Linked DNA regions of Callithrix jacchus. The protein of the gene in region 2 purifies or fractionates together with the protein of the main gene of each other region. This does not show direct contact. Links are inferred from orthologs where the notes say so. Each region holds a gene or a part of one and is shown on either strand. Other genes may lie near its edges. The genes, in order: EYA3, FHL2 and CNOT1.

Region 1 (3,333 bases), on a different chromosome or scaffold from region 2:
GAAAGCTCATATACAGAATTGTTTTGAGAGTATAAATGGAAGTATTTTACCAACTGTGTTGGAATGAGTCCTGTTTTCATGCAGCTGCTTCTTTACTTTGAGCTGTTAATAACTCTCTTGGTCTCTTAATCCTTTTAAAGGAGACATTACAGAGTATATTTCATCCTTGATCATTGCATGCCAGGACAATGAAATTGTCTGTGTTCTTATCCTCTAAATATGAGTTACTACCTTTGTTGAGTCTTACAAGAAAGTCAAATCTGACTCAAAAAGAGTTGTTTGCTACAGACAGATCATAGTAGGCCGTGCATCTGGTGGAGGTTGGCTTAGTTTGTAAAGCTGCAATGGTTGAAATGAAATTAGACAAAGAACTCTTTCATACCTTGAACATAGTAAGAGTTTATTATTAGTTGAACTGTTTAATGTTTGAACTGAATTGAGGCATAAGACCTGGACTGCAGTCCTCCACTGAATCATTTGTGAGATGAATATGACTTTACTCAGCAAACATTGATTGAAGTCTTATATGAATGTAAGGCATGACAAGTCTATTCAAAATGTTAGCACTAAAGAGACCCAAGTGCACCTAAGTCAAGCCTTATATTATAAGTGGCCAATGGAGCCCAGAGTGGACTAGTGTCTGGTCCAGTTGACTAGTCCATCTGTTTTGAGGTGCTGCTGGAGTAAGGATGTCAGAGATTTGCAGGTACATATCTGCATGACTTCTCCTGTGCCAAGTAGGACTTCTGAGTATGGAAGTATAGGTTCTGGCCAATTATAGTTACCTTAGATTTGCATATTTACATATTGCAATGATTTTCCAGCAGATGGCAGTCAAGTGTCTTGAGGAAGAGGCACTTATATCTTATTCACACAGGGACCCTGGTGCTAAGTCACTCTGTTGGGCAAGAGGAAAGAACAAGAAGGTTAATAGAGCAGGATGAAGAAGAAAGCCAAAGTTAGGATTGTGCTTAACTGAAGGAGATGGCAGAAACAGGGAAATAAAAAGAGCAAGGGATACTTTTATTTATGCAAATAAAGTATCTTTCCCCCAGCAGTACGATCTGTGAATGTTTTCGGTGTTGGTTTCAGGTGGGATTGGAGTTTTAGTACACTGGCACGTTTCTCAAAACTGTCATCTGCAGTTCTGAGAAACAGTTTTAAATCACTTATTTCCCAAGGGCAGTTTCAGTGGTGCAATATCTTGGTTACAACTACAAAGTATAGTAAGTAAGAAAGTTCCAGATATGACAAATGTCGCTGCCGTATTTATTGGCCACTTTTCTCAGTTCTATTCTGGGGCTCTTCCCTCACCAAAGACACAAGACCCACACCCAGAACTGCTTCTGGGAAATGAAGAATTGGAGGGAAATGGCTTTTTGTTTGTTATTGTTTCTAACAAGAAATTAGGGCCTTGTGCTATCACTTCTCTTTCCTTCCCTAAAATCATTCATTTTAAAATCATTTCATTGCCCCTCAAAAATCATTCATTTATTATGGCACAATGACCAGAGCCTAGATTTGGAGTCAGGGGTCCCTAGTTCTAGCTACTCACTTGTTTGTGATCTAGGGGCAAGTCACTAAACCTATGAATCCCTCCCATTTATAGAAATTCCCTCACACTAAGATCTTAGGGACTTCACCTTCAAGGTGAAGGTTAAAATCAATTGTTATTTTAATGACACAACTTCACATTTTTTGGTCTACTGGATCTCTAGCTCCCACCCCTACTCCCCAGCAAGCAAACTACACAGGATGTCACTTAGTCCACCTAAGCACAGGCAGGTGAACCTAGCAGCATTTGAAAAGAAGAGAAGAGTATTCTAACAGGAAATTTTTCTCATCAGGTAAGGAGAGCTGCTTTGAGAGAATTGTGTCAAGATTTGGAAAGAAAGTCACTTATGTAGTGATTGGAGATGGACGAGATGAAGAAATTGCAGCCAAACAGGTAACCACGGTAAAGAAAATGTCTATGTGGTTGTATACCGACTCATTAAAAAAATGGTAAAAACTACAAAATCTTAGCAATCTATTAGCATTTATAGCATTTCCTCCTCTTTCTTCCCTCCTCATTTTTCTTTAAAGAAAAAGAGGGTCTTTTTCTTCTCCAGATGGAGTTTTTCCTCTAAGTTTTTAGATCCTTCCCTTCCTTTTCCTCCCTGCCACTCAAGAATCTTAAAATCATTAAGCCTTTCTATAGGGATCCCATCATTAAACCTGAGATGTGCCCCATCTTCCATCTTCATCTTCAAAGACAGTGCCTTCTCAAGCATCAGACTCGACTGCAAAAAGCCTAATCATTCTTAGGCATGAACTAACCATGCTTCAAGTTCTCAGATAGTGCAATCAATAGAGAGCTGTTTCTATAGAGAAAGTCCTTCCTGCCTTTGAGCCCTGGAAAGATTGTTCTGATGTTAACACCACCACTCTACAGGTCCCAACTTCAGGTCACCCCTTCTTAACACAGGAAACAATAGATGAAAGAGTCTTGGCTGTAGAACCTAAAATCCCATCTGTGTATCAGCTATGTGACTTTGAGCAGTTTACTTACCCTCTTTGAGTACCCTCATGTGCTAAATGGATCTGTAGAAGTTCTTTCCCTCCCTACCCCAATTTATTTTCTTCCAGCAACTCTGTTTCTTAGACATGGAGGCATTGGGTTGCCAGCTAGAACCAACTGCCCTGATACTCTTCATTCAGTTAAGTAGAAACCTTAGCAACTATAATAAACTATGAGATTGGTAATCAGCTGGCATTATTATATCATGTTTTCATTTGCCACTTTATGTAGCAATTCAGGGATCTTTATTTTTTTGCATATAATATCACTGAAGCTTTGATTCTAATGTGCTTCTTATTGCCCTCTTTGGGAAGGACACTAGTGGGTGTAGGCATCAGTGATTCCTGGTCTGAAGAAGGGTATTGGGGAGAGAAAGAACAACTCAAGTCATCAGCAGAGGTGGTAACTCTCGGACTAATGTCTATAATCATGTACGATAGAATATACCCATTGAGGCTGAGCATGGTAGCGCACGCCTATAATCCCAGCACTTGGGGAGACCAAAGCAGGTAGACCACTTGAGGTCAGGAGTTCGAGACCAAACTGGCCAACATGGTGAAACCCCTTCTCTACTAAAAATACAAAAATTAGCCAGGCATGGTGGTAGACGCCTGTAATCCCATCTACTCTGGAGGCTGAGGCACAAGAATTGCTTGAACCCTGGAGGCAGTTGTAGTGAGCCAAGATCACACCACTGCACTCCAGCCTGGGCAAGACTCTATCTCAAAAAACAAACAAACAAGAAAGAATATACCCATTGGAAAATGCCTTAG
Region 2 (3,654 bases):
GCCCAGATGTTCAAGGCTGCAGTGAGCCGGGATCACACCGCTGCACTCCAGCCTGGGTGACAGAGCGAGACCCTGTCGCAAAAACAAAACAAAAAAATGACATGTAGGCTTTAATTATAGCACTTAGACACAGTGCCTAAAACTACCAAGATACATCACAACTTGGTTCAACAGCTAGTATGTAAAGTAAGTGTTGTAGAGGCTGCTCACTGAATCAGGTTCAAGGTCCCAGGTTCATTCACACTCCAGCCATTTCCATCCTGCTGCCAACCAGATGGGGTGTTCGTTAGCAGGTGTGCAGTAGGTGAATACAGTCCCTATACTTCAAAATTCATACTCCATAGAAATTCATCGGAGCTATGCCACACTTCTCATTATATTTTGCATCGCTGAGAGAGGCTTAACTTTTTTTAGATTTAACATTCCTAACCACAATATTCAATAAATAAATGTTAAGTACCTAAAATGTACATGTGTTATTCTAGGAGCTGGGTAGGTGTACAGTAGTGAACCAAAAGACAGCACTGCCCTGTACAAAACGGAATTACCTCCATTCAGAGGGGAGCCTTCAAGACCTGGAATGAGTTGCTCTGGTCACAAAACTAGATGGCAGCAAGCTCTGAAGGTGGATTGCTGGGACTCCATGCCCCTCTAACCATACCTATGCTTTGTTCCTCTTGACCCTGATGACAGGTACCCGCAAGATGGAGTACAAGGGCAACAGCTGGCACGAGACCTGCTTCATCTGTCACCGTTGCCAGCAGCCAATTGGAACCAAGAGTTTCATCCCCAAAGACAATCAGAATTTCTGTGTGCCCTGCTATGAGAAACAACACGCCATGCAGTGCGTTCAGTGCAAAAAGGTATCTCAGATTCCTCATTGGCCCTTGCATGTTCTGGCCAGTTTGCCTCCACAGTCCGTGTCTGTCAGTTCTCTTTCCAAAAACAAGGATACTTGTGATACTTGAATGGCATGAGAGCTGTGCCTGTCCTGCCTTATATTCTGAGCATTTATTTGTTGGGTCTGTGTTCCCATCCTTCTTTCAAAGACATCAACACTGTTGCATTCTGTGAGCAAGTTATTTAACCCTGACTTCTTCTAGACCATTTCTGAATATGTTTTCGTGTTGATGACCTGATGTTAGATGGAAGGGGAGCCACTATCCCAAAGCTGTCTTGTTCACTGCTCTCCATGAATAAAACAGGAAAACAACTGCAAACTTGAGAGGGAGAGAAAGATGAAAGGAAGAGGGAGGAGAGGAAGGGAGGGAGCAGGGAGGAGAGAGGGATGGTGTGAGAAGAAAAGTAAAGGAGAAAAGGTCTGGCCACATGGATATGGGATAGATGATTTATTAAATGCATCTACTCTGGCCATATATTATGGTGGCTCATGCCTGTAATCTCAGAACTGTGGGAGGCCAAGGCTGGTGGATCACCTAAGGTTAGGAGTTCAAAACCAGCCTGGGCAACATAGTGAAACCCCATCTCTACTAAAAATAAAAAGCTTAGACAGGTATGATGGCACACACCTGTAGTCCCAGCTACTTGGGAGGCTGAGGCAGGAGAATTGCTTGAACCCGGGAGGTACGTTGCAGTGAGCTGAGATCGCGCCACTGCACTCACACCTGGGCGAGAGAGTGAGACTTTATCTCAAAAAATAAAAAAAATAAACCTATCTGCTCTATAATGTGTGGTCCCAGCCATGGCTCTGTTTGGGTTAAAGAGGGAAAGAGAACCGCACACCTGTAGGAAGCCGTCTCTCTCCTACCCGCCCTATTGCCCCCACCTGTACCCTTTAGGGTATAGCTTAGTTTTCTGCTGTGCCCGCTGGCTCTTACAGACACGCAACATTGATTATGCTATAGCTTCCAGTGTCTCTGTGCTGCTAGGATTTGTGCCAGCCTGTGGAGTGGCACCCTCCCACTGCTCACTCGCCCTGGGCAGTGCCAGCTCTAGAACTCATTGCAGGCTCTGTTTGCTCTCATCCTTTTATCGGCTCTGCTCACCCAGATTCTACTGTTTTTGCCCTTGGGGCCTTTACCCTTTCCTCTGGGCTACGGAGAAACATCCCCTATATTGCTACCTGGGCGAGAATACGTTCACCTTGCCTGCACCTTTTCTAAGTGCTGAGCGTTCTTAAAAATTTCCATTCAACTTTTCTCTCTTGTTTCCTTCTGTTTGTTTCCATTTGTTCTTTTTTTTTTAAGACAGAATCTCACTCTATCGCCCAGGCTAGAGTGCAGTGGCATGATCTTGGCTCACTGCAACCTCTGCCTCTCTGGTTCAAGCAATTTCTCCCGACTCAGCCTCCCAAGTAGCTGGGATTTCAGGTGCGCGCCACCATACCTAGCTGATTTCTTTGTATTTTTAGTTGAGACAAGGTTTCACCATGTTGGCCAGGTTCGTCTTGGAACTCCTGACCTCAGGTGATTGGCCCACCTTTGCCTCCCAAAGTGCTGGGATTATAGGCGTGAGCCACTGTGCCCAGCCCCGTTTGTTCACTACTGTTATTTTAAATTTTATTTCTCTTTATTTCCTCTTCTCTTATGCTACTGTTTCTTTCTTTTTTTGAGCCAGTTTCACTCCATCACCTGGGCTAGAGTACAATGGCATGATCTCAACTCACTGCAACCTCTGCCTCTCGGGTTCAAGTGATTCTCCTGCCTCAGCCTCCTGAGTAGCTGGGATTACAGGCAGGTGCCACCACCACACCTGGCTAATTTTTGTATTCTTTTTTAGTAGAGACGGGGTCTCACCATGTTGGCCATACTGGTGCACACTCCTGTTTTTTCCTTTATTCTTAGAGTGAGCTCTCATTCCTGCTTTTATTTTAGGAACTCTCTTCCCTGTTCTTCCCTTTATATTTTTATTTTGTTTTATTTTTCTCATCAAGACCTAATGGAAGTTTATTTGAATTGCCCTTATTCTGTCATCTTTCCAACACGTGCTTTACTCATTTGCAGAAATGAAGGCAACACATCCTTTCTGGGATGCATGCCTGTGTGCACATGTTCATTAAATACACATACGAACATTCATGCCAAAAGCATCCATTCCTTGATGTGAACATGGCCCTCTCAGTTTGTCCGATGCTGGACAAAACACAGACACTAACTATAGTCAAGGTGGAAGTACACTCCAATGTCAATTTCATCAGTAGTTACTGAGCAGTGTGCTTTGGAGGAGAAGAGCAGAGTGTGGAATGGAAGAACCTCAACTCATCTGAGGAGTGTGGGGCCAGGGTGGTGTTTAGGGAAGGAGTCTCTGAGAAAGTCATGCTCTGCTGAGAGGCATTGAGTTAGCTGATGTGGGTGGGAAGCATGGAATCCGGAGTGAGGGAGGACTCGGGATGTATGTTGCAGGCAGAGGAGATGTCTTACACACACAGGCTGCTGCACCCACATGGATACGTTGCAACCAAGCGTGTTTTGTGTTCATTCTCTTGTGCAGTGGGGTGAATTACAGGAAGATGCTCTATGATTTATGGTTTAATGAAAGGAATACAAGATAGAAGGGAGTCCAGAATTCTAGCTTCTGCTTTGCCAGCTATGAATTCTTAGGCAAGTCACTTAATTTCTCTGAGTCTCAGTTTACTCATTCATAAAATTCAGATAATATCTTTTTTTTTTTTTTTTTTTTGAGACGGAGTCTTGC
Region 3 (3,654 bases), on a different chromosome or scaffold from region 2:
GGAGGAATAAGGACAGAGTGATGTGATCAAGAAGGAAAGAATTTTCAAAAGGATACGAAGCAGAAAAGTGTAATATACTATCTTTTTGAAGAGAAAGAAGAAATGAAAGCAAACAAGCCAACAGGAAGGGCAGAGACAGGTGCCACATCCATACCCATGAAATAGCAATGGTCACAAAGACCAACGGATTCCAATTTCTTCCTTTCAAATTATAAATCAGACTATAAACATGCAGTAACAGCTTTTCAGTAGGGTATGTTTTGTAATTCCCTGGATTCTTTCAGGGGAGAAATACACTCAGTACAATTTACTGAGTAACATTCATTTTGAACAGTAAATCCAATTTCAAGTAAATTTTTAGAATTCAAGTCAGCCCTTCCACATTCAATTGTCATTAATTTGAAAAGAGACCTAATTTGTCACCTTTCTTTAGCAATATACCTAAATTTTGGGTTCAGTTTGAAGAAATATAATGGTCAATCCGCAGAAATAAGTAGACAACTCACCCTGAAAAAAAATTGCAGCATTCTAATAAAGGAAATTCCAACGTCAATTCAGTTAAAGTACCACTCTTGCCAAGTTATAATTGGGACACATGGACTTATTGGGTCTGATTCCCTCACAGTCGCTGAAAGGAGCCAGTGACAATCAAAAACAGAATGCTAAATGGTACTATGGCTCCCTTTTCCTGTTCATCCTATTCACAAACATTACTGCCAAACCTGATTTTCAGCTAGGAGCTTTATTCTTAAGACTTTAACTCAAAGTCCAATTTGCATTAAATCTAATGAAAAGAAATACTGGAAATTATTGTCCAAAAAAAAAATGTCACTACGTTTAAATAGATATTTAAACTAGAAAATACCTTAAAACACTCGACCATTTCAATAGTTAAGCATTTTGTTTTACTATATCTTTTTTTTTTAATGTGGGCTACTGTGAGAATTTTACATATTTATTAGCCCACAGTCCCATCAGTGCTAGTAAAATTACATTTGGTAGTTTCATTATTCATTATCTGACCCATTGTACTTTGTAGCTGTGACAACTGAAATGGAATATACAGAACCAATAATGGGCAGGAAACGTTGACTTTACTGCTTAGTGATCAACCATGAGAAAACAGACTATAAATTTAACCACATAATGATGACATTTTGTATTTGCATGAGTATGGAAGTAACTGTCTGACAACAGGGATGTAATACTGAGCTTTAATACTGGAGGCATCACACCCTACTTATGTTGAATAAAAAGCACCTTTCTTTCCAAAAGCTCTACCTGTCCAACAAACGCAGAGAAAGCTTTGGTACTGTCGCGGCCAGCTGCTGCTGAATGGTAGAGATTCACCCATTCCCTCAGAAGATACTCTGCCTTCTCCCTCAGGCCCGGAGGGTCATCGTACTCTGAGGCTTGAGAGATCCCAGAATGCATCATAAAGTTTGGGCCTCCATGAGCACGATCAATCATTGCTTCATAGTTGGATCGCACTACTTCCATCAGCTGGGGCAACCTAATACAATGAATCCATGGTGAAAATCAGTCTACTCGTAGTTGTGATTTTACAGACACAGATGGATAATTTACTTATTTAACAGCAACCAAAAGAGTGGTTTACCACTTCACTTTACCACTTCCAAACTGAAGCAAAACTATCCTTCGTCTCTTCTTATCTGCTTATGAGTACATAACATGCAAATGGCTGCCCTCAGTTTAGCTACTTCTTACCCAAAATATATGTTCATTGAAATGTAGCTGATGTTCAGAGTTAATAAATATTCACTGCTTGTCTAGTATGTACCATACTTTCTTTATATTACTTCTCTTGATTTTCAATCATTCTTTGAGAAATTATTTCCTTTTTATATAAGGAACAGATTGCTAGAGCACGGTGGTTCACGTCTGTAATCCCAGCACTCTGGGAAGCCAAGGCGGGTGGATCACGAGTCAAGAGATCAAGACCATCCTGGCCAAGATGGTGAAACCCTGTCTCTTTAGAAAAACTAGCTGGGCATGGTGGCACATGACTGTAGTCTCAGCTACTCAGGAAGCTGAGGCAGGAGAATCACCTGAACCCAGGAAACAGGTTGCAGGGAGCCGAGATTGTACCACTGCACTCCAGCCTGGTGACAAAGTGAGACTGTCCCAAAAAAGAAAAAAAGTTTAAGGGGGGTTAGTCAATTTGCCTAAAATCAGAAAGCTTTTAAGTGGCATGACCAAGGCTTAAACACAGGACTCTGACACTAAGTCTGGTACCATATGTACTGCTCTATGCCAAAAAGGCTTGGCAGTAAATTAAGCTTTTGCCCTTACCAAAGTTACTCACCCACAGCTTGTTGGTAAAGCAGTTATAACAAGTAATGTTAGTAAGTCTGCACATTCATTCCTAAAGATACTAGACTACTAAATGCACGGGGATCTCAAAGCATTTCATCCTCACCCTTCTGGAGCATTGCCTCTGGAATGAGCATTAATCCTCATGAGGGTCTCAATGGTGTGGAACAGATCTGCCTCGGTAACATGGGCAACACTCCTTTCATCCACCAGCAGGATTTTCACCAATTGCATAGCAAATGCCACAGCCATGTAGTTTAAACCATTCTCCATTGACTGGCAACACAGAAAACACAGTTTGAGAGGGAAAACACTTAAGAACAAACATAATTCCCAGAGTCCTTTTGTCTTTGCAAGTAAATTCCTTCCATACCTGCGCTAAATGAAGATCATACTGTTGCATATTAACCAAATGATTGCGAATTAGCAGCTCCACAGCCTCCACATTATATTTATATTCATCCCGACATTCAATTAGGCACCTAGAAAAGGTTCAAATGTCTTTAGTCATCTAATCTTTATACAGTATGGCTATACTGTATAAAATAAAGTACTCATTTTACTCAATGGAAATTTGCTCCAAATTAAGAATGCCTTGAGATTCAACTGCAAATCAGTGTCCAAATTTAAAAACAGCCAGTAATGAACAGAACAGATAGCCCAGGCTTTGCTTTCAAATCCTAGGAAACAGAGGATTCCATTTAAGACATTAAAATACTTATACATGAATACCACGTCTGAGAAATCACTGAAACCTTTTAAAACAATGACCTACAATTTATTCCCCAAAACAAGGTACTGGTTTTTTCTATATCCAACATGAGGAGAAGGTAGAGACCTGATGGAAAATAACTACTTAACAATTCTCACCTCTCAGAAGTAGAAAGTTCAAGTGTCCCTCCCATCTACCTACTAGAAAAAAGGGAAACCCCTGGACATATCTATGTTATCTATGTCGAAAGGCAATCGAAGTCCAACACTCACGACTTTTCCAAGATGACTACTGACCTTGTGATCTGTTTGTTGCACCATGGAGACCCATATGCTCGGCCATCCTGCAGAGCTTTTAGTACCAAGAGGTGGCATTCCCTGTAGCGCAGCAGAAGGTCAGCATCAGCACCACTTGTGGCATCTAGTAAGCCCTCTACAGCCTATGTGAGAAAGAAAGTGTTCAAAACCATGGCAAATACAGTGCTCAGCCCCAACTATCAAGGCCAGAAATCAAATCTCAATGCCCATTACCAAATACCTTCCAAAGCCTCAAGACTGTCCCTTCCACTTTCCAAACATCCTTTTCAGTTGCCTATCACACATACTCTA

The links.
Region 1: the proteins of FHL2 (region 2) and EYA3 purify together in Homo sapiens (affinity purification with mass spectrometry; 3 studies listed by BioGRID and IntAct, with this or other methods). This does not show direct contact. The link is inferred for Callithrix jacchus from reciprocal best matches to the Homo sapiens genes FHL2 and EYA3.
Region 3: the proteins of FHL2 (region 2) and CNOT1 purify together in Homo sapiens (affinity purification with mass spectrometry; 3 studies listed by BioGRID and IntAct, with this or other methods). This does not show direct contact. The link is inferred for Callithrix jacchus from reciprocal best matches to the Homo sapiens genes FHL2 and CNOT1.

What each region holds. Positions count from the first base shown.
Region 1 is NC_133508.1:64,652,786-64,656,118, reverse strand, and holds the end of EYA3 (protein phosphatase EYA3), read left to right. Parts: intron 1-1,847; coding exon 1,848-1,948; intron 1,949-2,628; coding exon 2,629-2,736; 3' UTR 2,737-2,742; downstream 2,743-3,333. UniProt on the Homo sapiens protein: Tyrosine phosphatase that specifically dephosphorylates 'Tyr-142' of histone H2AX (H2AXY142ph). 'Tyr-142' phosphorylation of histone H2AX plays a central role in DNA repair and acts as a mark that distinguishes between apoptotic and repair responses to genotoxic stress.
Region 2 is NC_133515.1:15,441,992-15,445,645, reverse strand, and holds part of FHL2 (four and a half LIM domains protein 2), read left to right. Parts: intron 1-25; exon of another isoform or gene 26-72; intron 73-693; coding exon 694-863; intron 864-3,654. UniProt on the Homo sapiens protein: May function as a molecular transmitter linking various signaling pathways to transcriptional regulation. Negatively regulates the transcriptional repressor E4F1 and may function in cell growth.
Region 3 is NC_133521.1:16,396,914-16,400,567, forward strand, and holds part of CNOT1 (CCR4-NOT transcription complex subunit 1), read right to left. Parts: intron 3,486-3,654; coding exon 3,343-3,485; intron 2,817-3,342; coding exon 2,708-2,816; intron 2,611-2,707; coding exon 2,441-2,610; intron 1,514-2,440; coding exon 1,261-1,513; intron 1-1,260.